Pelodiscus sinensis: one gene and its partners. The protein of the gene in region 2 interacts with the protein of the main gene of each other region in a pairwise test. Links are inferred from orthologs where the notes say so. Each region holds a gene or a part of one and is shown on either strand. Other genes may lie near its edges. The genes, in order: LITAF, STAM2, KLHL42 and ARRDC3.

Region 1 (8,140 bases), on a different chromosome or scaffold from region 2:
GGGGACACCCTGAAGATAGGGAGGTGGGGTGGATTCTGGAGTGGCCTAGGGGATAGGGCATTTGCCTGGGGAGCACAGAGTTGGAGGTCCAAGTTTCTTTCACACACACACATCCTGTCCACACACCCTGGGAGTTACCAGACACACAACACAGGCTGCCCAAGGGATGGAGCTGTCTCTTGTATTAGGAAGACAGGATAAGGGACCTGCTGAAGGTAGGGAGGTGGGCTGGGTTCTGCAGTGGCCTAGGGGATAAAGCATTTGCCTTGAGAGGGAAGGGTTGGGGGCCTGAGGCCATCCCCTACCTCTGGGAGCAGCATTGGAGTTATTTCGGCCCTAGCCCTGCCCCACTCCTTAGAGCAGCTGGCATGTACAGCAATGGCTCCACAGCTCCAAGTGCTTCCCCAACCCCACAGCCTCTATTGGCCACAGTTCTCCATTACTGATCAATGGGAGCTGCAGGAGCGGAGTCCACAGGCAAGGACAGCTTGAGAGACCCCCTGCTCTGACTCTCTCAGGGGCGGCAGGGACATGCCAGTCACTTCCAGGAGCACAATTACCACAGGGATAATCACTCCAGACATGACAGGTTCAGCGTTTTAGAACACACTACTCCAAGAATTAAATTTAGGCATAAGAGAGAAATGAAAGTTATGCAATGCACAGACCAGTCAAAAACTAAAACTAACCCACTTTGCAAGCTGTAAAAGTAGTAACAACCCCCCATGTATGTGCTGGGTCAGGAGAAAGGGAAAGACAGTGTGTGTTTGTGAGAGTGACAGAGACACACACAGTGTGTGAGTGACAGAGATTTGCATTGCCAAGCTCCCTCCGTCTCCTTCTCTCTGTGTGGAGATGGGATACAGGAGTGGGGGGAGGAGGGACACCCTGACATCAGTGCCCCCCTTTTATCCCTCCTGTACCCTGCACAGCAAGCAGGAGGCTCCCAAGGGGCAGCTCCAGGCAGAGTGCAGGAGCAGCATGACAGTAAGTAGAGAGACACCTGAAGTGGCAGCACTTGGTAGCTTCCTGGTCAAACCAGTCAGGGTCACCTGTCAGAGGCTCCAAGATCTACTGGTTGGTGACCACTGGTGTAGCAGCACCTTAAAGGCTAACAAAAGGTGCTGCTAGACCAGTGTTTCCCAAGTAGTGAAAATTGGGGTTCAGCGAGAAAATTCCATTACAATAACATTTTATGATTTTAAAAAATATATTTAAGCATTTCTGAATTTTATTGAAAACAATTTTCCTTTGTGTTTGCCACAGTAAGTGTCCCTGTGTAATGCCAGCTTAGCCAGAGAGTGGTGACGATGATATCACTACTCAGCGCTGCGTGTGCAGTCAGTCACTGATGCTATCGCCTGTTATATACCACTATAAATTCCCGTACTCATTCTCAGGGAGTGTGGATCACATGGGTGACTAAATATGAATATACTAGCACCATGTCCAACAAAGTCCAAGCTTCAGCTGTCAAACCAGTTGTTATTAGGGGTCCAGCAAAATTATTTTGAGTTTAAAAAGGTTCCGTGACCAAATAAAATTGGGAAACACTGCGCTAGACAATTTGTTGATTTTTAAGTGTTTCCAGTTACAGAATAACTCAGCTACCCCACTAAAGCTTTTGAAAAAAGAGGAAGTAAACTATGAGTTGCAGAATTAGCCAAAAACAGGCACTGATGTATCTGTAGAGAGGCTACAAAGACTGAGTTTAGTTACAATGAGTAGTCCCGTGGCACTTAGCAAAAACATGTAGAGTGTCATGAGCTTTCATGGGCAAAACACACTCCATCAGATGAGCTTGAGTTTGGTTAGTTACATTTAGAAGTCAACAAATGGCTTCTATGTGGACACCCACCAATGGACGTAACGAAAGTCTTGATTTCTACATGTACTGCTTCCGCAAATGCATTCAAGCTGACATTATCAGCAAATAACATAAAACATATCTCAGTCATGCACAGCGCAATGCTATTCACAGCCTCAAAACCAATCCTAACATCATAATCAAAGAGGCCAATAACAACACTGCACACTTGATTCCAGAGCTCTGTAACTTTGTCCTCACCTACAACTACTTCCAATTCGGAGACAATTTCTATCTCCAAGTCAGTGGCACAGCCATGGGCACTCGCTTGGCACCACAGTATGCCAACATCTTTATGGCTGACCTTGAACAATGTTTCCTCAGCTCTCGCCCCCGAACACCCCTACTTTACTTATGCTCCAACGATGACATCTTCATCATATGGACCCACGGAAAAGAGACTCTTGAAGAATTCCACAAGGATTTCAACAAACTTCCACCCCACCATCAACCTCAGCCTGGACCAGTCCACACAAGAAATCCACTTCCTGGACACTACAGTACAGTTAAATAATGGACAAATTTCCACCACTCTATATCGGAAACCCACTGACTGCTACACTTACCTTCATGCCTCCAGCTTCTATCCCAGACACATTTCTCAGTCTACAGTATACAGCCAAGCCCTAAGATACAACCAGATTTTCTCCAACCCTACAATCACCTAAAGGATCTTTACAGAGCATTCCTAAAACTGAAATACCCACCTGGAGAAGTGAAAAAACAAATTGACAGAGCCAAAAAAGTACCCAGACATGAGCTACTTCAAGACGGACTCAAAAGAGAAAATAATAGAACTCTTCTTATTACCTATAGTCCACAACTCAGACCCCTCCAGCGCATTATACACAATCTGCAACGCATCTTAGAAAATGATCCCTCACTCTCAGAAGCCTTAGGAGAAAAGCCTATTCTTGCTTACAGAGAACCCCCCAACCTGAAACGAATTCTTTCTGGTAACCATGCCATACAACCATATCATAAGCCTCCAGGAACCCAGCTCTGCAACCAAAAATGATGCCAACTCTGCCCACATATCTATACTGGCAAATTCATCACTGGAACCAACAACATAAGCTACCAAATTAAAAGGTCATTTGACTACACATCCAGTAATTTGATCTATGCCATCAAATGCCATCAATGCCCCACTGCTATATATATTGGACAAACTGGACAGTCTTTGCGGGAAAGCATCAATGGACACAAATCAGATATACGTAAAGGAAACATACAGAAACCTATTGGGGAACACTTCAATCTTCCAAATCACTGTTTAAAAGATCTTCAAGTAGCTGTCTTTGTCACAAATCAGTGCTACTAGCCAGATCCATAGAGAAGCATTGCAATTAAAATACATTGGCAAATTCAATGGGGCACTAGCAACTTAACAGCCGTTGAAGGTGCAAACAGCTCTACTACTTTTCAGGAAGGATACTATCTATTGACTTTGATTCTTATTTGCTTTAACTACCCAATTTTCAGATACTTACTGATTCCTTCTAGCTTCCTGTCTTTCACCCCCCCTTCTTTTTTTCCCTCTCCCCTCTCCTTCCCATCTCTTATTTATTTTGGGTGTGCGCATCCTACACTCATAACTCCGGTCATCTGAAGAAGTGGGCTGTGCCCATGAAAGCTCATGATACCATCTACTTGTTTTGTTAGTTTATAAAGTGCTACCAGTCCATTGTTGTTGTTTTTTCTGTAACAGACTAACTCTGCTACCCCCTGAAGCATTTAGAAGTCAGCTTGCTTTTTAGAGGTTTATCTTGTTTAATGGGTTTCTTTTTGTAGACAGGAACACTGAAACCATCTTCCTATTTCTCTCTAGCCACATCCATTATGCTATGAATGTAAGTTTTTAATTTGACTGTGGAATGTGATCTCCTTGCCTGTGCCAAAGGACAGGGAAATCTCCCTTTGTTGGCTCACTTTCATCTTGAGGTGCCTCACAGAAGGGGACATGGAAACAAGTCAGAAAACAGTGCCAGGCTGTTTCATTCAGGCATCAAAATATTTCTTTTGGCAAAAAATAATTGGAGTCTTTAGAGGAATGATACTTAGTGATTACCTACATTTGTTTGCTGATGGGAATTATTTTGCTGCATAGTTGTACCTATTAACATAAAAAGAAATACATTACAGAATTTGGAAAAGGAATTTTCCTCTTGTTCAAGTTACTTTGTGTTTTGCACATAAAATCTGATAGTTACTTTTGCTGATACAGTAATTTGTAAATCTTGTTGTTTTGACTTTTTAGCTTAGGAAAAAGCTGATTTGCAATGAACTCCAAGGTCTTCCAGATAGTGTTGAGCTGGAACTTGGCAGGTTTTTTCCAGATCAAGTAAATTCTTTGGTAACTGAACATACCCTTCTGAACAACCACTTGTGTATCACTATCAGACACCTGAACTTTTACTCTCCAGAAGTTCAACTTTTACATTTCTAAACCCTTGCCTCAGTGCTCTTGTGGCTTGGTTTCGGGTTGCCCACTGGAAGGCTGGCTCTGGAACACTGTTCTCGTGTTCTGTACCGAACAAGTGACCACAGCAAGAACAGCCTTAAGCTAAAGGCTGGACGGGTCCAGGCCATGGGCAAGTTTCTAGGCGAGTCCCGAGCCCACGCGTGGTGGCGGGGGAGACAGAGCAGGGTTCCACGTGGCTGGGGCGCTCGTTCCCAACTGCAGGGGGAGCCCCCGACCGGGCTGCCAAGGGGCAGGGCAGGGTCCATCGCTGGGCGGGGCCGCTCATTATCTGCCGGAGCCCGCCCCCGTCCCAGCTGCGAGGCGGGGGAGGCGAGCGCCAGGTCGGAAAGAGGGGCGGGGGCGAGGAGCGGCCTGTCCGGGTGCAGCTTTGTCTCCGCCACGCCAGTCGCCAGAAACTCGGGCCGGGAGCGCAGTGAGCCCAGCTCAGCCCGGGCAGCGGGAGGTAAGAGCAGCGCGGCGCTGCCCCCCTCGGATCCGCGCGCCGGGCAGGGGCGCTCCTGGGGTCTCGCGCAGAGGGGGGAGTCCGGCGCCGCTTGCCCCGCCCCCCAGCGCGGGCCCGCGGAGACCCCGGGACACGGCGCCCCGTGGTGCCACGTGGGGGGGCCGGCCAGAGGCTTCCCCTCCGGAGCGGCCCCGCGTGACACGCCCAGGCCCCCTGGCCACGTTACCAGCCGCGGGGTGGCGGCTCCGGAGAATCGGGGTGAACAGCGCGGCCCGGCGACTCAGATACGGGAGCGGTAAGTGGGCCGGGACGCGGCCCCCAGCCCAGCCCCTCGGACCCTTCGTGCTGCCCGCTCGCACAGGCGGGTCGGGCGGACTTTCCTCTCGGTGCCTTCCAGGCGCAGGCTGGAGCGAGCTGCCTGGGGTTTGTCCGCTCTTCGGAGGGACTCTTAAGCGAAACCAGCATTTCAGTATGTGCAGCAATCCCCTCCCCGCGGGCGCGAGGTGCCGTTCCTGTCACCTTGGGAGTGACTCGGCCGCTTTTCCTCATCTTCCTGTTTGTTTGCGCTGGAGCTGGAATCCTCTGGTTTGGGCTAATTGTTTTAATGCTGAGCTACTAAATCAGTTCACAACTTGTTAAGGTTTAGTTTGAAAACGTTTAATGTCAACAAGTGACACTGAAATGGGCTTCTCTGGAGGCTTGTCTGCTCTGAGAGTAACTATTCCTATGGAGTAGTGATAGAAATGTAGCCGTGTTAGTCTGGGGTAGTTGAAGCAAAATGCAGGACAATGTAGCACTTTAAAGACTAACAAGATGGTTTATTAGATGATGAGCTTTCGTGGGCCAGACCCACTTCCTCAGATCAAATAGTGGAAGAAAGTAGTCACAACCATATATACCAAAGGATACAATTTAAAAAAATGAACAAATATGAAAAGGACAAATCACATTGCAGAACAGAAGGGGGATGCGGGGGGGTGGGAAGGGGGAGGAAGGAAGGTAAGTGTCTGTGAATTGATGATATTAAAGGTAGGGAGAGTGGGATGTTTGTGAGTTAATGGTATTACAGGTGATAATTGGGGAAACTGTCTTGGTAATGGGTGAGAAAGTTCAAAGACTTGTTAAGTCCTTGTTGGTAAGTGTCGAATTTTAACATGAATGACAGTTCAGAGGATTCCCTTTCAAGTGCAGATGTAAAAGATCTTTGTAGCAGAATGCAGGTGGCTAAGTCATTTAGAGAGTGTCCTTTCTGGTTAAAGTGGCAAGAAACTGTTTTCTCTTTGTGATCTTGTCTGATATCTGTTTTGTGGGCATTAATCCTTTGGCGAAGTGTCTGAGATGTTTGTCCAATGTACATAGCAGACGGACACTTTCGGCACATGATAGCGTAGATTATATTTCTGGATGCGCAGGAATATGTGTTCTTGATCTTATAACTCACTTGGTTAGGTCCAATAATGGTATCAGCAGAATGAATATGTGGACAAAGCTGGCAACGGGGTTTGTTGCAAGGGAAGGTACCAGGGTTGGTATTAGTGTGGTATGTCCTGTGGTGGTTGGTAAGAATCATCTTGAGGTTAGGTGGTTGTCTATAGGAGACTATGGGTCTGTCTCCCAGAGCCTCTTTGAGTATGGTATCCTGTTCCAATATAGGCTGTAGTTTATTGATAATGTGTTGGACAGGTTTAAGTTGGGGGTTGTCGGTGATGACAAGTGGTGTTCTATTGTTGGTTTTCTTGGGTCTGTCTTGAAGTAGATGGTTTCTAGGTATTCGTCTGGCTCTTTCAATTTGCTTTTTTGTTTCTCTGGGTGGGTAGTTGAGATTTATAAATGCTTGGTAGAGATCCTGAAGCTTCTGGTCTCTGTCAGTGGGGTTAGAGCAGATGCGGTTGTATCGAAGGGCTTGGCTATAGACGATGGATCGTGTGGTGTGTTCTGGATGGGAGCTGGATGCATGTAGGTAACTGTATGAGTCAGTGGGTTTTCTGTAGAGAGTGGTGTCTAATTTTCCATTGTTGATTTGTACGGTGGTGTCCAGGAAGTGGATCTCTCGTGTAGAATGGTCCAGGCTGAGGTTGATGGTGGGGTGTAGGTTGTTGAAATCTCTGTGGAATATCTCCAGTGTTTCTTGGCCATGTGTCCAGATCATAAAGATGTCATCGATGTACCGTAGGTAGAGGAGGGGTGAAAGGGGACGGGAGTTGAGGAAACGTTGTTCTAGGTCAGCCATAAAGATGTTAGCATACTGTGGGGCCATGCGTGTACCCATGGCTGTGCCGCTGATCTGGAGGTATAAGTTGTTCTCAAACCGGAAATAATTGTGGGTGAGAACAAAGTTACATAGGTCTGCTATCAGGTTGGCAGTAGTGTCCTCTGGGATAGTGTTTCTAATTGCTTGTAAACCGTCTTCATGTGGGATGTTGGTATATAGAGCTTCTACATCCATGGTGGTAAGGATGGTATTATTGGGGAGGTTATCGATGTTTTGTAGTTTCCTTAGGAAGTCAGTAGTGTCTCGGAGATAGCTGGGGGTATTGGTTACGAAGGGTTTGAGAAGAGTGTCTACATAGCTGGATAGACCAGTAGTGAGCGTGATTTGTCCTTTTCATATTTGTTCATTTTTTTAAATTGTATCCTTTGGTATATATGGTTGTGACTACTTTCTTCCACTATTTGATCTGAGGAAGTGGGTCTGGCCCACGAAAGCTCATCATCTAATAAACCATCTTGTTAGTCTTTAAAGTGCTACATTGTCCTGCATTTTGCTTCAACTACCCCAGACTAACACGGCTACATTTCTATCACTATTCCTTGTGCAGGCAATCCTTAAAACTGGTACTGGAACACCACAGTGTACACAAGGTAAAGCAGGAAAGTTGACACAAAAGCATAAGTTCCTGAGTGTAAACTTTCATTTAGAAGCGTGGTGTGGTGTACGATGACTTTTCTGAATGAGAGTAGCCACATAGGAGTCAATAATGTGCTTTAAATTCAGACCTTTAGTTAATTTTTGCTTTTCTGAGAATCCATATGTAGTCATGCCCAATGAGAAACAAATGTCATAGCTTCAGCACCTAAGCAATTATTAAAAATATTTATTCTCCTGGCAAATCCCAAAGTTTTGTGGACTCTTGGCAGGTAGGATGCCACCTAGGTCTGTCTCTAGCTAGGTTTTGTGGGTGGTCTGGCTGACTATTAAAATTAGTAGCTTACAAAAATCTCAAATGATCTGCAGCCAAGACCACAAGTCCTGTCAGAATATAATTTTTTTTTTTTTGTTCAAGCTGTTCTTAAACCTTGGCCTTTCCAGAAGGCCTAGTTAAAACAAAAGGAAAAACTATGCAGA
Region 2 (7,922 bases):
CATTTTTATTCAAGCCAATTCATTTTTGATAATAATGTATTTTCACTTCCTTAGTAAATGTAAGGCTAAGAGAAAGGAGTTCCATTTTGCCTGAACGGAGTTACAGTTCTAGAAATCAGCATAATGTTCTTACTTAAAATCCCAATAAGAAAGCAATATTGCCATCTGCAGGTCACTTCTAACTATTAAAACAGTTTTAACACAATAGTTTATTTTCTGAACAACTTCCTGAATAAACTTAAAAAACAACAAATAGTCTGGTAGCACTTTATAGACTAACAAAACATGTAGATGGTATAATGAGCTTTTGTGGGCATAGGCCACTTCTTCAGATGACCCGAGTTTTGAGTTTAGGATGTCCAGACCCAAAATAAACAGGGGAGAAGGGAAAGGGGGAAAGGAAAAAAATGGAAGGAGGTGGGAAAAAAGAAGCAGACGGTATGTAAATATAAAAGGGAAAACCAAAAAAGCAAACCTGGTAATCTATAAGCACCTAAAAATTGGATAGTTTAAAGAAGCAGATAAGGATCACAGTATAGCACTTAGAGAGTAAGAGTACTAGCACAAGAATCTACACAGATAAAGAGCTGTTGGTACAGCTCGTTATCCTGTACAGACTAACTCGGCTACCCCCTGAAGATACTGAATAAAGTACAATCACTGAAGTTGGCTGGCTATTGTAAGTCACTCTGTCCTCCTTTTACATAAACCAAAAAAGAAACTATATATCAATAAAGGTGTCACAGGACGATTTGATGCATATGTGGTACACTTTGACACATATCACATGATTTTACACCCTTCACATTTATGTTTTCTGTCATATGCAATATTCAAATATATATTCACTTTGTCCTCTTGAGAAACACTAAATGAATTTTGATATTTTGTTTAACTATGAAATTAATTACAAAAGAATTAATAATTTACTCATCACAATTGATCCTGTAATTCTACCATATATACAGAAATACTTAGGAAAAAATAGTGGCTCATGAAAATTTCATATTAGTTAGATGAACAATAATCAGTCATCCCTGAAAACATTAAGAATCTTGTTCTGAAAATACAGGAAATTTTCACCATTCGTGGTAGATGTGTTCCTGGCACTACCACAAATGGCAAAATTTGCAAATAATAAAAGTGGCCATGGCTTCCAGCCCAAGTGGTGAGTTCCCTGTGGGGCTCTGGAACTCAGTGTGCAGACTAGTATCAGAGGGGTAGCCGTGTTAGTCTGAATCTGCAAAAGCGACGAGGAGTCCTATGGCACCTTATAGACTAACTGAAGTGTAGGAGCATAAGCTTTCGTGGGCAAAGACCCACTTCGTCACATCTGACGAAGTGGGTCTTTGCCCACGAAAGCTTATGCTCCTACACTTCAGTTAGTCTATAAGGTGCCACAGGACTCCTCGTCGAGTGTGCAGACTGTGAGCTGTGGGAAACCCACTGCATGTGCTGGGAGCTGCGTTGAGATCAGGAACTGCGGTGAACTCACCATGGCGTCTGGGAACTAGAGAGCTCCCTGCGTCTCTGGGTCAGATCAGAGGTCCATCTAGTTCAGTAACCTGTCTTCCGACAGTGGCCAATGCAAGGAGCATTGAATGAATAGAACAGGTAATCATCAAGTGATCCGACCCCTGTCACCCATACCCAACGGCTACATCTAGACTGACATGATTTTCTGCAAATACTTTGAACGGAAAAGTTTTCCTTTCAAAGCATTTGCAGAAAAGAGTGTCTAGTTTGGCATGGACGCTTTTCCGCAAAAGCACTTTTTGCGGAAAAGTGTCCGTGCCAATCTAGACACGCTTTTATGCAAAAAATGCCCCGATCACCATTTTCGCGATCGGGGCTTTTTTGTGCACAACAAATCTGAGCTGTCTATACTGGCCCTTTGGCGCAAAAGCTTTGCGCAAAAGGACTTTTGCCCAAACGGGAGCAGCATAATATTTCTGCAAGAAGCACTGATTTCAGACAGTAGGAAGTCCGTGTTCTTGCAGAAATTCAAACGGCCAGTGTAGACAGCTGGCAAGTTTTTCCGCAAAAGCAGTTGCTTTTGCGGAAAATTTTGCCAGTCTAGACACAGCCAACTTCTGAGAGGCTAGGGACACAATTCCTACCCATACTGGCTAACAATCTTAGATGGACCTATCCTCCATGAATATATCTAGCTCTTTTCTGAACCCTGTTAAAGTTCTGGTTTTCACAACGTCCTCTGGCAAGGACATCCATAGGTTAATTGTGTGTTGTGTGAAGAAATACTTCCTTTTGTTTGTTTTAAGCCTGCTACTTATTAATTTCATTTGGTAAGCCCTAGTAAATAAGTTTTCCTTATTTACTTTTTCTATACCAGTCATGATTTTATAGACCTCTATTATATCCCCCCCTTAGTCTCCTCTTTACTAACCTAAAAAAAGTCCCAGTTTTATTAATCTTTATCCTATGGCAGACATTCTAAACCCCTAATCATTGTTGTTGCCCTTTTCTGAACTTTTTCCAATGCCAAGATATCTTTTTTAGATGAGGTGACCACATCTGCATGCAGTATTCAAGATATTGTCATACTATGGATTTATATAGAGGCAATAAGATATTGTCTTATTTTCTATCCCCTGGTGAATCACTGGATAAAGATTGCTTGAGTACAGGCCAATAACTTGCTTACAGCCATCTAACCCATACTTTTCGTGTTGTTAATAATCATTTGTTAACGCTTATAAACTATTTATAAATATACATCATATAGTGTGCCACAAAGAAAAAGGTGCAAAGAAAACAATTATAACCAAGAGCTTACAAATGCACCAAATAATAAAGAAGCTGACAATTCTGTGTCTTAAGTTCTCTCCAGTGATTATCTCAAATGCTACAAGTAACCAGTGTACAGGCAGTTCCCGCACTTACGAACGGGGCTTTCTCGCCCCGGAGCTCGCAGGCAGTGGGACCGCCCAGAGCGCAGCGGTCCCGCCACCTTGACCTCCGGGGCAAGAAAAGCTGCTCCGGGTGCCCCTGGTCTGCTGGGGACCGCCGCCGCTGCCGCTTTGCTCCTGGTGCCTCTGGTCTGCTGGGGACCGTCTCCAGCAGACCAGGGACACCCGGAGCAAAGCCGCAGCGGCGGCGGGGTCCCACGCCTCTGAAGCTTTGCCAAAGCAAAGCCTCAGAGGTGCGGCACCCTGCTGCCGCTGCGGCTTTGCTCCCCGTGTCCCTGGTCTGCTGGGGGGGGGGGGGCGCAGCTAGTGCACCTCCCCCCCCCCCAGCAGACCAGGCTTTTGTTGTGGACTCTGCTGGGTTGGTCCTGCAGGGACCTACCTGGCAGCCCAGCTGTTCTGTCCCAGGCTCGAGATTCAGCCGCTGTTGAAACTGATCAGTGGCTGATTCCAGGAAGCTGGGGGCAGAGCAATTCTTCCTCCAGCTTCCTGTAGTCAGCCCCTGGTCAGTTTCAGCAGCAGCGGCTGAATATGGAGCCAGTTCCGACTTACATACAAATTTAACTTAAGAACAAACCTATAGTCCCTATCTTGTACGTAACCCGGGGACTGGCTGTACTGAACTGACACAGAAGGGTGAGGGCAGGGCAGTCTTGGGTGGCATGGCAGGGTGGCAGTGGAATTGGAGTGTTTAGGTAACTTAAACATTTTTCACTGTGGCCTGAGAATGCCAGGGACTCTTGTTTGTGCAAGCCAACAGAGGAACAGGGGATCATACTACCTCCTCACTTTGCACCCCACCTTTTGCCCCAGAGAAATCCCATCTCCCCTTGCCACCAGCTTAGAGGCCCGTCACCAGTCAGAGCCCCCAGCAGGTACTAGGGATGTAAAAGAGTAGTTGAATAGTGGACTAGCTGATAAGCTTTATCTGGTAGTTGAGTCAACTACTCACATTCCCAGCCTGATGCCTCTAATCAGAGGCCACAAGGTCAGGGGCGGGAGGAAGCAGGGGAACGCTAAGGGGAACTCGCTTAAAGAGATTCTCCCCAGCACTGTCTCCTAGTGTAGTGGGATGGCAGGGCAGGCAGTGGCTCTACCTTTCCAATGTACGAAGACCTGCCTGGCTGGCTCCAAGTCCAGACCCGCTGTGGCGCTGCCTTTTAAACCGGTAACAAGCGTCTGGCTCTTGCTCCGTTTAAAAGGCAGCACCGCAGCGGCCTGGACCCGGCAGGAGGCGGTGCTGGGTCCCATGCTGCGCCTCCGCCTTTTAAATCAGTACCACAGGCAGAGCCGCAGCGGGGTTTCCAGCTTGCGCCCCCGCCGGGAGCTAACCCAGCTGCAGGGTAGTAGGGGCTGGGCAGCAGGCGGGTTGGCTACGTGTAACCTGCAGCGCCACAGTGGGGGCAGCGCGTGCCCCCCCCATCGATTAATGGACTAGTCCATGGACGTTCCACTGAGTACTCGGTTGCCGGCCATTAGCACCCCTAGCAGGGACCTTCGCTCTGTCGTTCTCTGGGACCCGAGACTGCACAAGAGCAGCCCGACCCCGCCCCCCCCCTCCCGACAGCTTCTCTGCCTGCACCCCCCCTCCCCCCGGCTCGTTGCTAGGCGGGAACTCTCCCTCCACAGCGCTTGGCAGGCCCCGCCTCCGGCGGCCCGAGCGCGCGGTGCCTCTCTCAGTGCCTGACGTCGCCGTGTCATTTCTTGCGGGGCCAGACCCGGGCGGAGGCCGCTGCCCTATGGCGGTGGCGCTCTCTGCGGCAGAGGCTTTGGGTCGCTTGGCCGCGGCTCGCCCTTTTGGTGCAGGCGCGGCGCGGGCGCCTGTTGCGAGCGGGGGGGCCTGCGTGGCGGCGGGCGGAGCAGGAAGCGGCCACGGGCGGGGGAGGGGCCACGTCTGAGAGCTGCGACTCACCTGAGAGGGGAGCAGGGCCTGGCTCGCCGCGGGGAGGCCGCCGAGATGCCGCTGTTCGCCCCCAACCCCTTCGAGCAGGACGTGGGTGAGCGAGCGGGAGTCCGGCCGCGGCGGGGAGCGGGGCCTGTCCGAGTGCCCCTGGGCGGCGGGCGGGGGTGTGTCGGGGGCGCCGGCCGGCCCCGGGGGAGCGCTGGGGCGCTGCGGGGGGGAGGCTGGGGACCGTGTTCCTGCCGGGCATGGGGTGGGTGCGTCGGGGGTGACCGGGCGCTGCACAGCTGAGGGCTGAGCCCTGTGGCGTAGTTGGGTGCGGAGGCTGGTGACGGATTAGAAACGCAGCAGGGACACGGTCCCCGGAAACTGCCCTGAGCACCCCCCCCCCCCCAAACGTACCGGGCACCTGCAGGCACAAGAGGAGACACGAAACGCGTGTTGCTTCCAGCGACTCTTGCTTGTGCGTAGCTTGGCCGGCTTCCCGGAGGGGCTCTCTTGGCTGCCAACTTCTCTTGTCAAGGGGTGGATTTCAGGGAATTCCCGTGTTTAACGTCTCCGACCGTGTCACCGGGAGCTGGGATTTCAGTCCTGACAGCGGTTCTTGCACATCTACAACTTTTCTTGAAACAAAACCATTTTATAACACGTTTATACAACACAACTGGAATGTACATTGCAATGTTGCTAGTATGTAAATGCTGACCAATAACAAGGCCCCTGCCCCACGTACTAGTTAGCTTATTTTTTCCTTCGTAGTATGTAAAGACCAGCATTATAATAAATTACGGTAAGGGTCTGATTCATGGACAGTGATAATTTTTGAAATTTAATCATTTGGAAACTGAGAGATGATATGAATGCTTAGGAAGTTGGGAAATCAGTGGTACGGTATTCCATACTACCTAGTTGGTGTCGGTCCAGAGTTAAATTTCTGAAATTCAGAAATTTGATAGTGTTAAACCAAGCTGTAGCATTTATGAAAAAAATACTTTTTTTTCTGATATGGATCAGTAAACAACTGGAGTAGATGCAAGCCTAGATGGCTTGTGATAATCATTGAATGAAAATTGTATATACTACTTTCTTTTTGGCTGCAAGTCTCAAAATGTTGTGTTATATTAATTTAGGAAGTAGGGATGTTAAATTTCTATTAAATAACTAATCAACTAGTTGATGGGATTTCCATTGATTATTCCATTAGTCAATAAGGACTAGCACTTTCTGCCTTTCAAAGATTGAAATGACGTGTGGAGCCTGGGATGAGTGGGGGACTACCTGCTGGCCCCGGGCTCCACGCGGTGTTTCAGTCTTTGCAGTTCACAAGAGCTCTCTCTGGGGCTCTTGTACATTTCAAAGAGGTGGTGCCACATGGAGCCTGGGGCTAGCAAAGGACTCTGAGCTCCCTAGGCTCCCTGCAGTGTTTCCGCATTGAAATGTACAAGAGCTCCAGTGAGAACTCTTGTACATTTCAAAGGCTCCATGCAGGCTTCCTCTTTGAAATGTACAAGAACCCGGGGTGGGGCTCTTGTGCATTTCAAAGTTGGAACACAGCTGCTGCACTCCTGCCCCCTCCTACAGAGCTGGAGCTGGTGGGAACTGGTTCTTTGTGATAGAGGCAGCAAAGGGGGGGAAGTGACTAGTGTGTCGACTGTCCAATAAGCTTTTGCTTATCGGGTAGTCAATTAGTCGCTTACATCCTTAGTAGGAAGATGCCTAATGCACAGGCAACAGTTTAGGAAAAGATACCATGGCAAAAGTGTAATTAGGACATTTTGTTGCTTCAAAAATCTTAATGCCCTTTTAGACTTTCACAGATAATATGTAAAAGTGACGCTGCATGTATGTAGTATCACTTTTTTTTTTTTCCATAGTACTTTTTCTCCAAGGATAAATGTAATTTGACTTCGTAAAAGCTTTTAGGTAACTGGCATGGACTTTTGTAGCCCCTGGACGGAGGTTGACCACTGGTGGTAGGCCTCAGTTGTACTTGCTGGGGAAATCATAGTGAGGTGCTACAAGCTTTTAAACCCCTAGTCCAGTATTTCTCACAGTGAGCTGTGGGCCTGCTTTGGTAAAGCCTCTAGCTTCCTGCACTGCTTTGTTTATCTAAGGATCAGAAGCCACAGAACCTCATGGATCCCATTGGCTCCGGTTTGCCTTGGGGATGTAAACTACTGGTCGAGTAGTCAAGTCACTACTCCACTAGTTCCTTCCCTTCTCTCACAGAGGCAGTGGGAGGTGGTAGAGCAGGAATTGGTACTGGGGGGAGCTATCTTAAAACTGCTACTTAACATCCCTAGTTTGCCCTTGGCTGGAAACAGTGAACCAGAGCCAATGGGGGAGCAGTGAGGCTCTCTGGCTACAGACCCATAGATAAAGCTGCAAGGCCCGCTGTCCACTTTGAGAAGCACTGCCCTAGACTTAAGTGTTCTTGCTGTCATTTGGGGCTGTGAGTCTGTAACCTTAAGTGGGAGCCCTTGAAGAAGATCAAGTTGATATGAAAGCAGCTATGTACGCAAGTTTGAATGGCATTAAGTGGCACATTTATTTGGCTTTTCCATCTCCAGAGATCTCGGATGAAATCACTATTGAAGAATATTGGTCAGATTTTCACCCTGGTTTCAATGTCTCACAGTAAAATGTCTGGTGGAAGTGAATTTGATGACATTTACCCATGTTACAAAGTGGTCATGTAGTTCTATTTAGAAAGAGCCACTGAGGGCGTGTCCAGCTAGGGATAAAAAGCCTACAGCTGGTCAGCATCAGCTGACTCTGGATCACAGGGCTTATGTTTCCGGGCTGAAAAATTGCTGTGCAGAGGTTTGAACTTGTACTGGAGCCTGAGCTCTAGGACTTTGCAAATGGAGTATGGTGTCCCAGTGCTCGGGCTCCAGCCTGATCCCAAATATTTACACAGCAATTTTTAGCCAGTTTTTGAGCCTGGGCTAGGTAATACGGTCCACCGCTGACTTATTGAACATTAAATTTTTAGCGTAGACTAATCAGAGGTAAATGTAATGGCAGGGGGGAAACAATTCAAAAGCTTACCAGTTTGGTATAAAAACCCATTAAAACTTAAATTTGTTTTATGG
Region 3 (8,332 bases), on a different chromosome or scaffold from region 2:
CATCACAGTGTATATTACATGTCCACCCCTATACCCAATCTACAGAGGATGTCAATATGTTACAATTCTCAGCTATATAGCCTGCCTCTTTAGCTTAAGCTGTAGAGACTGAGGCTTTTAGCTCTGGAAGTCCCTGATTCAGGCTTCACTACAACGATCTATCAGAAAAAGGTATACAAATTGCAGATATTCTGCAGATAACCTGAAAATGCTTAAATGCTACTGATGGGGAGGAAAAATAAGGGCATGCCTTTACTTCTATTACAATACCATGGTCTAGTAAAGTTCTTGGAAGGTGCAAAGTGGAAAAATAGTAAATATGTAGCTAATAAATGGCTATCCATTCTTAATACAGCTATGCCTCCAGCATGTCAAGAAGGGTTGCTACTAGGGATGTAAGTGACTGGTCGACTACCCAATAAGATGCTTATCAGGTAGTTAAGTAGTGACTTGACTAGTCACTCCACCCCACCTTGCTGCCTCTATCAAAGAGAGGCAGCAAGGGGGGAGCAGGAGCCTGTGCTGGGGTGTGTGTGTGTGTGTGTGTGTGTGTGTGGCTTAAATGCCGATTTCCCCAGCACCATCTGGGGAGGCAGAGGCATAGCTGGGATCGGGTGCAAGCTTGGAATCAGCTGACTCCCAGCTTGTGCCCAGTCCCAGATGCTGTGCATCTCCTTTTTAAATGTATTAAGAAACACCAGGCTTTTAATGCATTTAAAAAGCAGAGGTGCAGTGGTGGGACAGTTGATTCCCAGCTTGCACCTGGTCCCCTGCTGCAGTGCTGCAGTTTCTCCCCTTATCAATTAATTGAGTAGTTGATGGAAATTCCATTGACTACTCAATTAGCTAATTACACTTAATTTAACATCCCTAGTTACTACCTCTACATATTTCTGTGAACATCCCAAATCTCATGGTGCAATCCAGCACCCTGCAATCCAGCCTTGGGTAATGCCAAAATACCCCAAGGTATCTTTTGTAGCCTGGGAGATTGTGACATACACAGGGCATAATTTACACTACCGAGTATCTGTGTCACTCCTGCTTTCTAACTTGGGATGCAATTTACACTGCTTTACTGCTCCAGCCTCCAGTCATGGCATGCCTGCAGTCTCCAGCATGTAATTCACTCCCGTCTGTGTAGGCAACCTGCACCTATTTTGTTACCCCAAATAGAGTTTCCCAGATTCTTCAAACACACTCGATGAGCTAAAACAATAAAACAAGTTTATGAATTACTTGCACTCAAACTGTCTGTAATGAGACATGAAAGTCAAAAATGGTTACTAGAAAAAGATAAAAGGCAAGTAAAGAAAGCTAAATTCCAAGTTAAGTTTTTCGAACAAGATGTTCTGAGCAGTCAAACTGTTTAGGCCAGGACCCTTTCTCTAGGTCCATGGTTGCATCATTTGTTCTTTCTGGTGCAGTATTCAACAAAGGGAGAGGGAGAGACAGGAGAAGGAGTTGTTTCCCCTTCCTTTTTATAGTCCTCTTACCTACCTTTGAGATGCATTTCCAGGTGGAAGCATTGTGACTGGCAGTCTGTGCAGAGAGCATATAATATCCATTGGCCTTGTTTATACCTGGCTGAGGTGTCAACTTACCCTTTATCTCTGAGGCATTTGTTTGACCATTCCTTAGACCTGGAACATTGTTAGTAACAACGTACTCTTGAATAAAACAACTTTACATACAATGTTCCCACATGCATTTTACCATGACAACAATGACCGGCAAATTGTTAGTTTACATCACACAGATTGTTACCAAGGTGTGCAAGGTATGAACATGGGGGTACAATCTGTCATAGAGCTATCACACTTTGATGAGATATTTGTATGCTGTGCTATGCTGATTCCCATTCCCCACCTTCTGGGTACAGGACAAACTACACAAGCTGATAGGTCTTTTTCATTTTCAATGTATGTCACTCCATACTCCTCACATGTGATTGTATTTGCATTAATATATATATGGAGATATACCATCTCATAGAACTGGAAGGGACCTTGAGAGGTCATCGAGTCCACTCACTTGCCCTTACAGCAGGACCAAGTACCATCCCTTAAACTCACTGTCTACTTTGCAAATACACCGTGTTGCATGCTTGTGACTAATCACATTAAAATAAATTAAATGTATTTCCATGCAAGAGGCTAAGCATGTGCTTAAGTGTTTACAGGATCTGGGTCTAAATTGTAAACTCCTTTTGCTTCTTGGCTTAGTTTTTCAATACTTTTTATTTTCTATCACAAGGAGTACAACCACCACGGAAACAACAAAAGAAATAATCAGACTACTCCTAACTGGACAACAATATGCTAGCCACTCCCAGGTGTGTTATTGTAACTGCAGTCTGCCAGTCCTACCGTGGCTGTCCCCAGCCTTGATTATAGTGTACAGAGTCTCCACACACTCAGTGCCAGACCATCCCTGGATATGTCTGTCCTGCTCTGTCTAGCCCTTCTCCAGACAGACCAGTTATATTACGTTTGTTATTCCTTTAAGACAGGGGTGGGCAATAATTTTTGGCTGGGGTGGGGCCTATAACAGAAAGGGTGGGGCCAGGATGCTTCCGGGCTTCCCCACCCACAGATCATGATTGGTCGGGGGTGGGGGAGCCTCTTTGCCCCCCCCTTCCCACTAAGCACCCATGCCCCTGGCAGGACAGGAAGAGGCTTTGCACACTCCCCACCTCCAGGCCAATTAGAGCCTGGGGGCAGGGGAAGTGCATGAAGTTTCCTCCCCTATGCCAGGAGCATATAGCACTTTGAAGTGCCCTGTGCTCCTGGCAGGGTGGGAGGAGACTTCACGCATTCCCCTGCCCCCAAACCCTGATTGGTTGGGGGGCAGGAGAAGTGCACAAAGTTTCCTTCGGCCTACCCACGCCATGCGAGGAGCAGGAAGCACTTGAAAGTGCTGTGTGCTCCTCGCAGGGTGGGGATAGAGCGGAAGAATCTTCATGTTCTCCCCCGCCCCCAAGCAAGGCACTTCAAAGTGCTACATACTCCTGGCAGGACAGAGGAAACTTGGTGCGCTTCCCCTGCCCCCAGGCCCTAATTGCTACAGCTTGGTGGGCCGGATCTGGCCTACGGAGGCCCTTTTGCCCACCCCTGAGCTAGAGAGAGAAACTGTGGAACTGGTCTTCATATGCAAAGCTGACACCTTCACACAAGGACAGAACAAAGATATTAGCTAGATGGGCTGTTATATTCAACACCCAAATGACATCAAAAGCTAAGGATCAGACACAGCCCACTCTATTAGACACATTTAGCATGGACACTATAGTTGACAGGGTTTCTGCCTACCCCCACCTCCCTCCTTTTTATCCCTCTGTCCTCTCTTTTTCAGCTTAAAATTTTGGATTTCTGTACTTCTCTGTGGCTCTTGCTCTGCTCATCTGAAGAAGTGGGTTGTGCCTACAAAAGCTCATGACACTGTATAACAGCGTTTCCTAAACTGTGGTCCACGGCCCAGTACTGGTCCTTAGGAAAAAAATACCAGGCCTCAGAAAAATGTTTGCGAGAGCCCGCCTCACGGCCTGCAATCCACAAGATGAACTCTGCACTGAACTCCCAGTGTCAATGGAGGTAGCACAGGCTTCCTGCGGGATAGGGCGGCAGTTCTGCAGCTGCGTACCAGGTTCCGGAAGCGTGTGGGCTGCTCTCCCCCTGCCCCAACAGCCGGTACAGTACCTAAAATGCCGGTCCAGCGCATGGTGGGGACTTTGTTCCCCTGCTGCCTTCCCGTGCGCAGGGGAGTGGGTGGAGATCCGGGACTATGCTGGCTCCAGCTGCTCGGGCGGCGCATGCTGCCATGGAGAGCAGAGGAGCTAGGTGTGCACTGCCCAAGCGGTTGGGGCTGGCACGGTCCAGGACCCCGCTGTGCAGGAAGGCATCAGGCATGCAACAGACCAGCGTGTCAGGTACCGTGCCACCGTTTGGAGGACGGGGGAGCAGCCCGCGCACTTCCTAGGCCTTGGCAGCTATAAGATCGCCAGGTATCGGTCCTGGTCCTGTCCCCTCCCCCCCCACCCGGACCCATACAATACCCTGCCCCAGTACCCACAAGTGCTCTGTCCCTTGCCCCAGCACCCGCAAGCATCCTCTCCCCTGGCCCAGCACTCATTGGCACCCTTCCCCAGAGCTCTGTCCTAGCACCCACAAACACAGTTGGGATCACATTAGTGAGGTTTGAGGGGTTATGTTTTTGTATCTCACTTGTGTGGCCTGGACTGACTTTCTGTGGGCTAAAGTTGGCAATGGGGTCTTTGGGAGGACCAGAAACAATTTATTTGCATATTCATCATCTGCTTAATGAATATGCAAATAAACATTACTGGTCCTCCAAAAGCTTGTGAATGGATTTACTGGTCCCCAGTCTGAAAAAGTTTGGGAACCTCTGCTATATAATGTTTTTGTAAGTCTCTAAGCTTATACAGGGCCACTCGTTTTTTATTTATTTTTAAAGGAAGCATGTACATTTTCATTTTCTTTTGATGAATGAGTTAAGGACCCATCCAATGCTGGGTAAATCTGCTAGTGAGGTATAAGAGACAGAAAAATAAAGCCGAAATTCTTTCCCCATTGTCAGAAGGTCTAAAGGTCTCTGGGCTCTGCGCGGTGCTGCTGAGCGACTCCCACCCGGGAGGGACCTGTCGCGGGACCGCCAGGGAAGGCAGCTCGGGGCTGAGCTCGGCCCCCGGTGCTCGCTAGGACGAGGGGGGCGGTGCTCCCGCCAGGCGCACGGAGCAGAGAGCGACGTTTCCAGGCCCTCCCCGGGCTCCTCCCCGGCCGGGAGCTGGGGCCTGGAGACGCTGGGGCCCCGGCCTGCTGCAGCGCCCCGGCTCCAGCATTGCCTTTTTAGGCCTGCGCGCCGCCGCGGGACGCAGCCGGGAGAGGGGCTGAGCCCGCCGCCACGGGAGCCACCCCCCGCCCCGCTCCTCCCGCCAGCCGGCGGGGCAGGCAGGAGCCCGGGGCCATGTCCCAGGCGGAGGCGGGGGAGGCAGCGGCTGGCGCGGAGGAGGAGGAGGTGGTGAGGATCCGGCTGGGGGACAGGTGCTACCCGGTGAGCAAGAGGAAGCTGATCGAGCAGAGCGACTATTTCCGCGCCCTGTTCCGCTCGGGCATGCGGGAGGCGGGGCAGGGGCAGGAGGAGCAGCAGCTGCGCGGGGGGCTCAGCGCCCAGGGGCTGGAGCTGGTGCTGGACTTCATCAACACCTCCTGCCTGGCCCGGCTGGAGCAGGAGGAGGGCGGGGAGCAGGAGCCCCCTCTGCTGGAAGAGCTGGTCGAGGCCGCCTCCTACCTGCAGGTCACCCCCCTGCTGCGCCTGCTCCTCTCCCAGGTGAGGCTGGGCAACTGCCTGGAGCTGCACCGCCTGGCCCAGGTCTATGGCCTTCAGGACCTGCAGGATGCCTGCCTGGGCTTCATGGCTGCCCATTATCATGAGGTTCTGCGGCGGCCGGAGGCCCGTCCCCACCTCCTCCTGCCCAGTGCCCTCAGGCAGCAGCTGAGGGAGAGGCGAATGAAGGGCACTGCCACCCTCCTGGCTATTGGAGACTTCATGGGTGCCTCCTCCCTGGGCCTGGCCCCATGCCGCCACCTGCAGGAGGAAACCCCTTGCTCCATGCTGAGGTATGATGAGGTGGCTCAGAGGTGGCTGCCCCTGGCCAGCAACATGCCCCTGGATCTAGTGAATGTCCGAGGCTATGGGTCGGCAATGATGGACAACTACCTGTTTGTCGTCGGGGGCTACAGGATCACCAGCCAAGAGATATCGGCTGCCCACTGTTATAACCCCTGTATAAATGAATGGTGTCAGATGGCTTCAATGAACCAAAAGAGGTAAACCCCCACATGGTGCATTACCAAGATATAGCATTTTGAGTTGGGTAGGTATAGACTAGACCCAGAAGTGCAGGGCCTGATTCACCACCTACCTGCATTTTGTGAAGTCAACACTATCAGTGTAAGCAGCATTTGACTGTCCCTTTTTCTCCCGGTTTGCTGATGTTAATGACAGTACTCGAAGAGATGATTAATAGGAATGTAAAATCCTGTTTAATTAACCGGTTAAACATTAAGTTTAATCACTTAACTGATTAAATTAAAGTAGGGTGGGGACTCTCTGCCCTGTGGGCAGGGGCTGCTTCAACCCATCTGTTTCCGGCCCCACGCTTGCTCAGGGATGGAAGTGGGGAAGGAGGAGGGGAGAGAGAGAGAGGGAAAAAAGAATGCATGTATGTATGTCTAGGGGGGGATGCTTACCAGGTAACCCATTTAGATCATTAGTGATCAATCGGGCCTTTAGGGTCTAGTTTTCTCTGTAGTCTCCAAATATCTGTCTTTATTTAAAAAAGAATTTCATGGTAAAATAATGAAGGTAAAATTCTCTTCCTAGTCAGTGCATGGGGTCTTTTGGCTCAATAATCTGGTCTTCCACATATAGGAGTCCTGTTGGCATCAATGGATCCATGCATGTAAGGAGTACAGAACATCAGAGTCAAGATTGACCAAACAGGTTCTTATTTGTATTGTGGCATTTAAACTTTGTGGTAGGCTCTGCACACACCTGCTATAAAACCACAGTTCCTGCTAGGGATGTTACATTTAGATTAATTAATTAATTAATTAATCATATAGTCAATGGGATTTCCATCCACTATTCGATTTTAGTCTATAAGGGCACTTCCGCCTTTGAACTGTAGCAAGAGCTCTGCCAGGTATTTGCTACAGTTCAAAAGCAGAAGCCCCGTAGGGAGCGTGAGGCCAGTGGGGGACTGGCCCTGTGCTCCCTGCGGCGCCTGAGTCTTTGAAATATGCACGACCACATGGAGCTCTTGTACATTTTAAAAGCAGAATCACAGCAGAACTGGTACGAGTGGAGACTGCTTCAGACCCTGCTCACACTGTTTCCTCTGTGTCTGTACCTTCTCTGCCCCCTCAGAGATGGTGCTGGGGGAAACCAGCTTTTAAGCCAATTCCCCTCAGTCTTGGCTCCTGCTCCTCCCCTGGGGGAGAGGAAGGGGGAGTAATTAGTCACATCCCTAGTCCCTGCCCAAGAGAATTTACCATCGAGTATACCCAACAAAAATGTTTGCCTTGAAACTGGTGCCTTCCTTTCTTTTTGCTTCTTATATTGTTTTAAAAGCTGATGAAGTTGATCATAACTGTATTATAATTGTCAGTGGAAGTGGCCCATACAACTCTGTATTTTTGCAATTAGTGTTTATTGATTTTTTCATAAAGAAAAAGATAATGAAGATCAGAAAAAAGGCAAACATCTTAGTTTGTACATGTTTCTAGATGATGCATGCTCCATAGGATCATTGATAGAAGTACAGGCAGTCCCCGGGTTACGTACAAGATAGGGACTGTAGGTTTGTTCTTAAGTTGAATCTGTATGTAAGTCGGAACTGGCATCAGCCACTGCTGAAACTGATCAGTTTCAACAGCCGCTGAATCTGGACACCAGTTCCACTTACATACAGATTCAAGGTAAGAACCCCAGGCGTCCGCAAGTCAGCTGCTGCTGAAACTGATCAGCAGCTGATTCCAGGAAGCCGAGGGCAGAGCAACTCTGCCTCGGGCTTCCTGTAGTCAGCCGCTGGTCAGTTTCAGCAGCGGCTGACTTTGGGACGCCTGGGGCAGAGCAGCTCGGGTGCTGCTGGCTTGGTCCAGTAGCACGGCCGCTCCTCGGAGCTACTGGACCAACCCAGCAGCACCCCAGCTGCTCTGCCCCAGGCATCCTGATTCAGCCACTGCTGAAACTGATCAGCAGCTGAATCAGGACGCCTGGGGCAGAGCAGCTGGGGTGCTGCCTGGTTGGTCCAGTAGCGCCAAGGAGCGGTGCTGCGGGACCAACCAGCAGTGCCCCACCTGCTCTACCACAGGCCCCCGGCTTTGCTCCACGTCTCCCTGGTCTGCTGGGGGGGCACTAGCTGCATCTCCCCCCCCCCTCCCCCAGCAGTCCAGGGAGACGTGGAGCAAAGCTGCGGAGGACCTGGGCCGAACCGTGGCGCTTCCAGATCAGCTGGAAGCGGCGTGGGTCCTGCCGGGTGCTCCGCCGCTTTGTTCAGCGTCTCCCTGGTCTGCAGACCAGGGAGACGCTGAACAAAGCGGCGGAGCACCCGGCAGGACCTGCGCCGCTTCCAGCTGATCTGGAAGCGGCCGCGGGTCCGGCCCCCGGTGCTCTGCCGCTTTGCTCCCGTCTCCCTGGTCTGCTGGCGGAGCCAGCAGACCAGGGAGACGGGGAGCAGCTTTTCTCGCCCCAGAGAAGGCGGGCGGCGGGACCAGGCGTCCCGCTGCTCTAGTTCTCCGGCGCGAGAAAT
Region 4 (7,497 bases), on a different chromosome or scaffold from region 2:
AGAAGCTAATCAGATTGGTTAGGCATGACTTGCCCTTTGTGACTCCATGCTGACTATTCCTAATCACTTTCCTCTCATCCAAGTGCCTCAATATGGATTCCTTAAGAATCCCTTCCATGATTTTTCCAGGAACCGAGGTAAGTCTGACCGGCCTATAGTTCCCTGGATCATCCTTCTTCCCTTTTTTGAAGATGGGCACTACATTTGCCTTTTTCCAGTCATCCGGGATTTCTCCCGATCTCCACGACTTTTCAAAGATAATAGCCAAAGGCTCCACAATGACATTTGCCAACTCCCTCAGTACCCTCGGATGCACTAAGTCCGGACCCATGGATTTATGTACGTTTAGCTTTTCTAAATAGTTCCTAACCTGTTCTTTACCCACCACGGGCTGTCCATCTTCATCCCATCTTGCATCACTTGGCACAGAAGTCCAGGAGCCGACCTTGTCCGTGAATACAGAGGCAAAGAAAGCATTGAGTACTTCAGCTTTCCCCACATCATCTGTCACTAGGTTACCTCCTTCATCCATTAGGGGCCACACACCCTCTCTGATCACCTTCTTCTTGTTAACATGCCTGTAGAAACCTTTCTTGTTCTCCTTCACATCCTTAGCCAGTCGCAATTTCATTTGCGCTTTCGCCTTCCTGATAAGCCCCCAGCATTCTCGAGCTATATCTTTAAACTCCTCCCTGGTCATTTGTCCAAGTTTCCACTCTTTGTAAGCTTCCTTTTTGTGCTTAAGTTCACCAAGGATTTCCCCTGTAAGCTAGTCTGGTCTCCTACCAGGTTTGCCTCTCTTGCTACGCGTCGGGATGGTTTCTTTCTGTGCCTTCAATAAGGCTTCTTTAAAATACTACCAGCTGTCCTGGACTCCTTTCCCTTCATGTTAACATCCCAGGGGATTCTGCCCATCAGATCTCGGAGGGAGTCAAAATCTGCTTTTTTGAAGTCCAAGGTATGTATTTTACTACTCTCTTTTCTTCCTTTGGTCAGGATCCTGAAATCTACCATCTCATGATCACTGCTTCCCAGGTTGTCACCCACCTCCACTTCCCCTATTAGTTCCTCCCCGTTTGTGAGCAGAAGGTCAAGCTGCGCACGGCCCCTGGTCGGATCCTTCAGCACTTGTGTCAAGAAGTTCTCCCCAACATTCTCCAAAAACTTCCTGGATTGCCTGTGTACTGCCGTATAGGTTTCCCAGCAGATGTCAGGGTGATTAAAGTCTCCCAAGAGAACCAGGGCCTGCGATCTAGAAGCTTCGCTCAGTTGTCCAAAGAAAGCCTCATCTACCTCATCCACCTGATTCGGTGGCCTGTAGCAAACACCAACCACAACATCAATGCTGTTGTTTGCTCCTTTAAACTTTGCTTCTCTTCTACCTGGAGAGCTCCCTCTCTAAAGCCTCACTCAAACAGGCGGGGGGGAGAAAACCCACCACCACCACACACCAAACAAACACAAGCTCAGCACACAGTAAGAAAGCCCCAATAACAAAACACACTTCCCTGAAGAGTCCTGTATCTGCTTCTCCTTCACCTGGAGAACTCCCTCTCAAAACTCCCTGTTAGCACTCACCTGTTCGCAAGCTCCTTGGTCACTTGCCCACTGCCTTATAAAGTCCCTCTCCCTACCAAGGCTCAGCCAATCAGCAGAGGCTTCTAGAATTCAAACTTTAATTAGAAGCCAACAGTTTCCGCCAGCCAATCACAGCCAATCACAGCACAAACTCCATCAAGGGGAGGGGAGGTGGGAAAAAAAAGCCTCACTCTCAAACACAGGGGGAAATAAATAAATAAACAAAAAACAAAAAAGAACACACACCAACCCTCACTCACAAACACAAGCTCAGCACACAGCAAGAAAGCCCCAAACACAACACCCACTTCCCTCAAGACTCCTGTATCTGCTTCTCCTCTACCTGGAGAACTCCCTCTCTAAAGCCTCACTCAAACAGGGGGAAAAAAACCACACCACCACACACCAAACAAACACAAGCTCAGCACACAGTAAGAAAGCCCCAATAACAAAACACACTTCCCTCAAGAGTCCTGTATCTGCTTCTCCTTCACCTGGAGAACTCCCTCTCAAAACTCCCTGTTAGCACTCACCTGTTCTTTCCCCACTTCTTTCCCATACTGTGTTGCCTAGTACAGTAGTCTGGGAGGTGACCTTTTCTGTGAAAACAGATGCAAAAAATCATTGAGTACTTCAGCTTTTCTCTCAAACCTGACCTGCTCTCAAACCCCAGAGGATCTGCAAGAGGCTAGTGCCTTGAGGCTCAGCTACATGGACTACTCTAGGTCATGGTTGCCCCCAATATCTCAGGAAAGATATAACAAAAGAAAACACGGACCGGCTACGTCTAGACTGGCATGATTTTCCGGAAATGCTTTTAACGGAAACGTTTTCTGTTAAAAGCATTATCAGAACAGAGCGTCTAGATTGGCATGGACGCTTTTCCGCAAAAGCACTTTTTTCCTTCCGCCATTTTCGCAATCGGGGCTTTTTTGCGCAAAACAAATCTCAGCTGTCTACACTGGCCCTTTTGAGCAAAAGTTTTGCGCAAAAGGGACTTTTGCCCCAATGGGAGCAACATAGTATTTCTGCAGAAAGCACCGATTTCTTACAGTAGGAAGTCAGTGCTTTTGCGGAAATTCAAACGGCCATTGTAGACAGCTGGCAAGTTTTTCCGGAAAAGCGGCTGATTTTCCAGAAAAACTGGCCAGTCTAGACACAGCCACCAAGTTTATTAACTTTTCTGCTGGATTTTTGTAGGAGGGTGCATAGAGGTAAGCGTATATATGGGCCAAACAGTCCTACAGCAGACTAGAGACTTATTGATGGGATTCTGAAAACTAACAGAGGAGAACAGTGATAGAAATGTAGCCGTGTTAGTCTGGGGTAGCTGAAGCAGAGGAGAACAGACCCACTGAAGCAGACGATCATCTCACTCCACAGGGGAAGGAAGATCTGTACCTGGAAAGGAGCCTTTGCACACATATTTGTGAGTAGGGGAACAAAACCACAGTGTCAAAAAGAAATGAAGTACCATTGCAAAGTGCCTGTGAAAATTTCCCCTATTTGCCACAAGATGGTGCAGAAACATAAAATGTATTAAGACACTAGAAGACTAAAAAGCAAAAGAATTTCCACCAGGTGTCTGCCAAAGGAAAATTTGAAAAACTTCCTTAAGAAAATAATATATTGGCACAATACTACAAAGCAAAACTGTTTCTCTGAACTTTATTTTAGATACAGAATTTACACAACCATAACTGTCAACACAAATTAATCTGTTTAATATTAACCAATTAAATTATATATCATAATGAATTGCTTATTTCAATAAACAAGGAACTTGGAAAAGAAATGTAGCATTTAATTTAATCTAGACAATTTGGTTAAGCAATGACAATATTCTCTTGTTGTCAGTATTTAACCTTTTTGTTCTTTTATCTATATACAAAGTTGCACCAATTCTCACAGAATGTTTATTTTACAAAATTCTCTCTGTAATATACTTAGCCAAACCTTTTTGAAGGGTTTTAAACTCTGCTGTATTTCTACAGGTGGCACAGCATACAGAAGTGGAAATAATCTGAACCAAAAAAATGCAGCTGGTGTCTGTAATTGGCCTAATTGTATATAGGAGGGAAGCACTGAGGCTAAAGATCCCCCTTCCCTCTTTTTCCTGTTAAATATCAACTTTAAAAATACAGGAGAGGTAAGAGAAATTTCCAATGGAACAGGTTGAAATTTTGTGGGGTGCCTCTCTTGGTTTCCAGGACCAGATTGAAAGGAATGGGAGGGATGGAAGAGAGATTTCACTGAAGCTGGTGGATTTCATCCCATTTTCTGCCAAGATGGTTTTTTATTTCCAGCTGAAATGCTTTGAAGAGCAAAATATTTTGCTTTCTGGAATGCACCAGATATAGTCATTGAACAAGCTCCTCTTTGGGATGAAAGATGTCCCAGATCCCTCGATATGTGCCTTATTTCCCTCTAACCTCTCTCACTCCCATTCCAGCACAGTACTTCCCAGAAGCAAACACTTTGGGAGGTTTGGGCTTGTGGCTGTGTTCTCTATCAGCTGTTTGAAGCATTAGCTCTCAGTCCCCCATTTCTCTCTATTCCTACGCTATAATATAATGCTCTATGCCTGGTATTAGAGGCTATTTGGTACAAATCTGCATCCCGTTTAAAGAGTTTAGGGTAGCGGACACACTACGGGAGACAGAATGGAGTAGACGCTAGCTTCTGTTCCACAGCAGGCTCGTCTTCTCTGCTACACCTATAAGGAAGAGAAGCAGCAGCAGCCCGCTCATGCGCACTCCGCTTGTTTTTCACAAAGCTAGTCTTAAGTGAGCTGGCTGGCTGCAACCAGCCCGTCTTTGTACAGAGACCACAGAGCTGGGTAGTAGCTACGAACAGCATCTAGTGCTGTTACTTTTTAGCAATCCCAATGAAGTGTTTGTAGAGAATACACTGATCCTGCCGGCAAGCTTCTTGCACGGCAGAGGCATTGATCAGTGTAAAGTGAAGATCGCATTTTATGAGATCTTGACTTTTGTTGTTTTTTTCTTACAATATATTTTTATAGACTTTGTTATAAAACATGGTGCTGGGGAAGGTGAAGAGTTTGACAATAAGCTTTGACTGTCTCAATGACAGCAATGTCCCCGTCTATTCTAGTGGGGACACAGTCTCAGGAAGGGTCAATTTAGAAGTTACTGGGGAAATAAGAGTAAAATCTCTTAAAATTCATGCAAGAGGACATGCAAAAGTACGCTGGACAGAATCTAGAAATGCTGGATCCAACACTGCCTATACACAGAATTACACTGAAGAAGTAGAATATTTCAACCATAAAGACATCTTAATTGGGCACGAAAGAGGTAAGTCATTGTATTACTCTAGTCGAAATTATATACAGTCATTTTGGATGCAAGTAGGTACGGCTTTGTATTTGATTGTATGTACATTTACTGTTAAAATTGTACTGAGATGCAGCTGTAAAGTGCATACAAACAAGACTTTTCCCAACTACCTGCTCTTAAACAGAGCCTCTTTCATGCGCACTTTCAATACATGAGGGTTTCATTTTTAATGTAAACATACTTTTGTCCTATGGATTTGCTAGACATTAGAAGATTTTTTTGCTTCCCTTGAGATATTAAGAAAAAACAGAGTCAGAAATCAGATGTGTAAATAATTTTTTTTTGTAATCTCGTCATAAGTACTGAGATGAATTAATGCATAGACTTCTGCTTTTGACATTTATGGAAACAATTCCAATTTTCAAATAATATATCTGATAACCCTTCAGTGATGGGTAATTGTTGGCAGATAAAGGATTCCATGTGGTTTATTTTGACATATGCAGTCAGCACTCCACGTGTGGTTTTTTTCTTTCCTTGGCTTTAAACAAAGTTAGTAAAAGAACAGATTTTTTTTAATACACTGTATGTCAGTGAGACAGCTGTAAAGAAGTCTGTCTGAAAGGCCACTTAGAGTCCATTATTATATAATTAGACCATCATTTCTAAGTTAAGGACTTCTGGAATCTGCATTCAATGAAGCCTCTTGTGCCAGCCCCAATGGAAATGAAAAGTACTGTAGAAAAGGATCTGATTTAGGTTAGGAAAAAGCCATTTTAAAGAGAGGAGTGGGTCTTCTGATTATTCATCTATTGTTTGAAAGGTTGCATAGTGGAAGTATAGGAGACTAAGCTTGTTTTTCTGAAGTTTCCACCCTTTGTTAGAAGCGGTTCAATCCTGTTTGGGACCAGTACTAGGGAGTGGGAGGGGGGTGCGCATTCTCTCCTCTCCGCAGATTGGTTTACACACGTCAGGTGATAGCGATGACTTAATGCTTAGCACAAGAAAATGTTAGAAGTGTTTATGTAATTTTCGGCTCTTTTTACATCTGTATGCAGTATATTTGCTGCAGAGATGTGTGTATTTCCCCCTTGCCTAAAAAAGAAATATCAATAAAGAAGTTACAGTGTTCGTTACACTGACTCTAAATCGAGTATTTTACATAGGCATGGGAAGGATTTCAGTTATGTTAGAAGCAGGTAAATGTAATTGGTAGAGGCATTGAACTAAAAGGCTCTTTATTTTCTTACCGTGCAAACATTTCGTCTATGCAAAGTGCATTTGCCTTATACCCTATTTTCTATCCCAGAACCCACCCACACCCAGCATAGGCGCAAAAATGCATGCATCGTTCCGCGTGTAGGGTCACAAATATGTCCAGAGCTTTCTAATGGCAGTTTTAAAAGCAGGAATGACTTTGTATGTATGAGTATGTATCTCAAGCGTCTCTCCACCAGTATCACTCACATACCTCTGTTTGAATGGAAAGCAGGAGACGAAAGCTGGTAGGGAAGGTGGAGTAGATCTGAAGCTTGCAAATGAGAAGCACTTGTAGATAAAGCGCAGTGTGTGTTGCGTAAACCGTGATTTGTGCTTTCACTTATACTGTGAGCTTGGAGCAGCTCAGCCAGCCGCTCCATCTGCAGCACAGGCAGGCGCTGCTGCTAACAGTGGGCTGTTGCTGAATGGAAAAAAGGGAGTTTCAATGACTTAGCTCGGGCACTTCTCAGCCTAGCCTGGTAACAAGAGACCACGCCCAGTGCTCTCAGTCATTGGTCTAGTGGGGTTTGTTAGCCTGTTGCTAAGGCGATGCCAAACGCTAATTGGAGGGAGGGAAGCTGGGTGGAGCGGGAGGAAGAAGAGTCGTTTCGCCACCCGGGTTGCAACGTGCGACGCAGAGGGGGTGCCACCGGCAGCCACTTATTGCTGCTCGGGGCGGGAAATTATCCTCCCGGGGTCCCGCTCGCACGGCTTGGGCCCGATCCTGGGAGCGGGCCCTCCCCCCGCACTCTCACTCGTCCCGCGAACCGGCGGAGGGTGGCAAATGCCCCTCGGCGCAGAGGCCGGGCGGGTCTCGCTGCCGGCTGTTAGGTGCGGGCGGGCGAGCGGCTCTGTCCTGGCTACACTGCTCCGCGGGGACGCCCCGGGGTTGGGGCTGCCTGAGGGTCCCCAGGGAGGCGAAGAGAGTCCTCCCCGCCGCCCCCTGCCCGCGCTTTGCCATGGCGAGCCCACCCCGGGGCCGGGTGGTGTTAGCCCAGCGGCACGGGGCGCCCCGGCAGTAAGGAGCCGGGCGGCGCGCGAGCACCACTGCCCGGCCGCGTGCGAGGCGGAAGCCCAGGCAGGGGGCGGCTCCCCCGGCCTGTCAGGTTGGGTTGCGCGCGAGGGAGGTGCTGAGCGAGGGCGCTCGTGTGATGTTCACTGCCTGTACGCGAGCGGCTGGCTGGCTGGGGAGCTGCTCGCGCCGGTTTAGGCCGGTCCTCTCCTGCTCCAGTCTGGTCTGTGATTGACAGCTCAGCACTTGTTTACCACAGTTTCGCTGCTGCTGCGGAGACTCAATGGGAGTGCTGAGCTGGCAGAAAGGAGGAGAAGGAGAGAAACTTCGGTGCCAGGAAATGAT

What was found.
Region 1: the proteins of STAM2 (region 2) and LITAF interact in a two-hybrid assay, tested with the Homo sapiens proteins (4 studies listed by BioGRID and IntAct). The two-hybrid records come from large-scale screens. The link is inferred for Pelodiscus sinensis from reciprocal best matches to the Homo sapiens genes STAM2 and LITAF.
Region 3: the proteins of STAM2 (region 2) and KLHL42 interact in binary tests that used the Homo sapiens proteins (3 or more experiments, as listed by UniProt). The two-hybrid records come from large-scale screens. The link is inferred for Pelodiscus sinensis from reciprocal best matches to the Homo sapiens genes STAM2 and KLHL42.
Region 4: the proteins of STAM2 (region 2) and ARRDC3 interact in binary tests that used the Homo sapiens proteins (3 or more experiments, as listed by UniProt). The two-hybrid records come from large-scale screens. The link is inferred for Pelodiscus sinensis from reciprocal best matches to the Homo sapiens genes STAM2 and ARRDC3.

The regions. Positions count from the first base shown.
Region 1 is NC_134726.1:14,505,473-14,513,612, reverse strand, and holds the start of LITAF (lipopolysaccharide-induced tumor necrosis factor-alpha factor), read left to right. Parts: upstream 1-4,608; 5' UTR 4,609-4,794; intron 4,795-4,957; exon of another isoform or gene 4,958-5,089; intron 5,090-8,140.
Region 2 is NC_134717.1:28,406,733-28,414,654, reverse strand, and holds the start of STAM2 (signal transducing adapter molecule 2), read left to right. Parts: upstream 1-4,683; 5' UTR 4,684-4,884; coding exon 4,885-4,924; intron 4,925-7,922.
Region 3 is NC_134711.1:129,725,741-129,734,072, forward strand, and holds the start of KLHL42 (kelch-like protein 42), read left to right. Parts: upstream 1-4,840; 5' UTR 4,841-4,983; coding exon 4,984-5,846; intron 5,847-8,332. UniProt on the Homo sapiens protein: Substrate-specific adapter of a BCR (BTB-CUL3-RBX1) E3 ubiquitin-protein ligase complex required for mitotic progression and cytokinesis. The BCR(KLHL42) E3 ubiquitin ligase complex mediates the ubiquitination and subsequent degradation of KATNA1.
Region 4 is NC_134716.1:74,018,814-74,026,310, forward strand, and holds the start of ARRDC3 (arrestin domain-containing protein 3), read left to right. Parts: upstream 1-4,377; 5' UTR 4,378-4,618; coding exon 4,619-4,898; intron 4,899-6,351; exon of another isoform or gene 6,352-6,732; intron 6,733-6,759; exon of another isoform or gene 6,760-7,497. UniProt on the Homo sapiens protein: Adapter protein that plays a role in regulating cell-surface expression of adrenergic receptors and probably also other G protein-coupled receptors.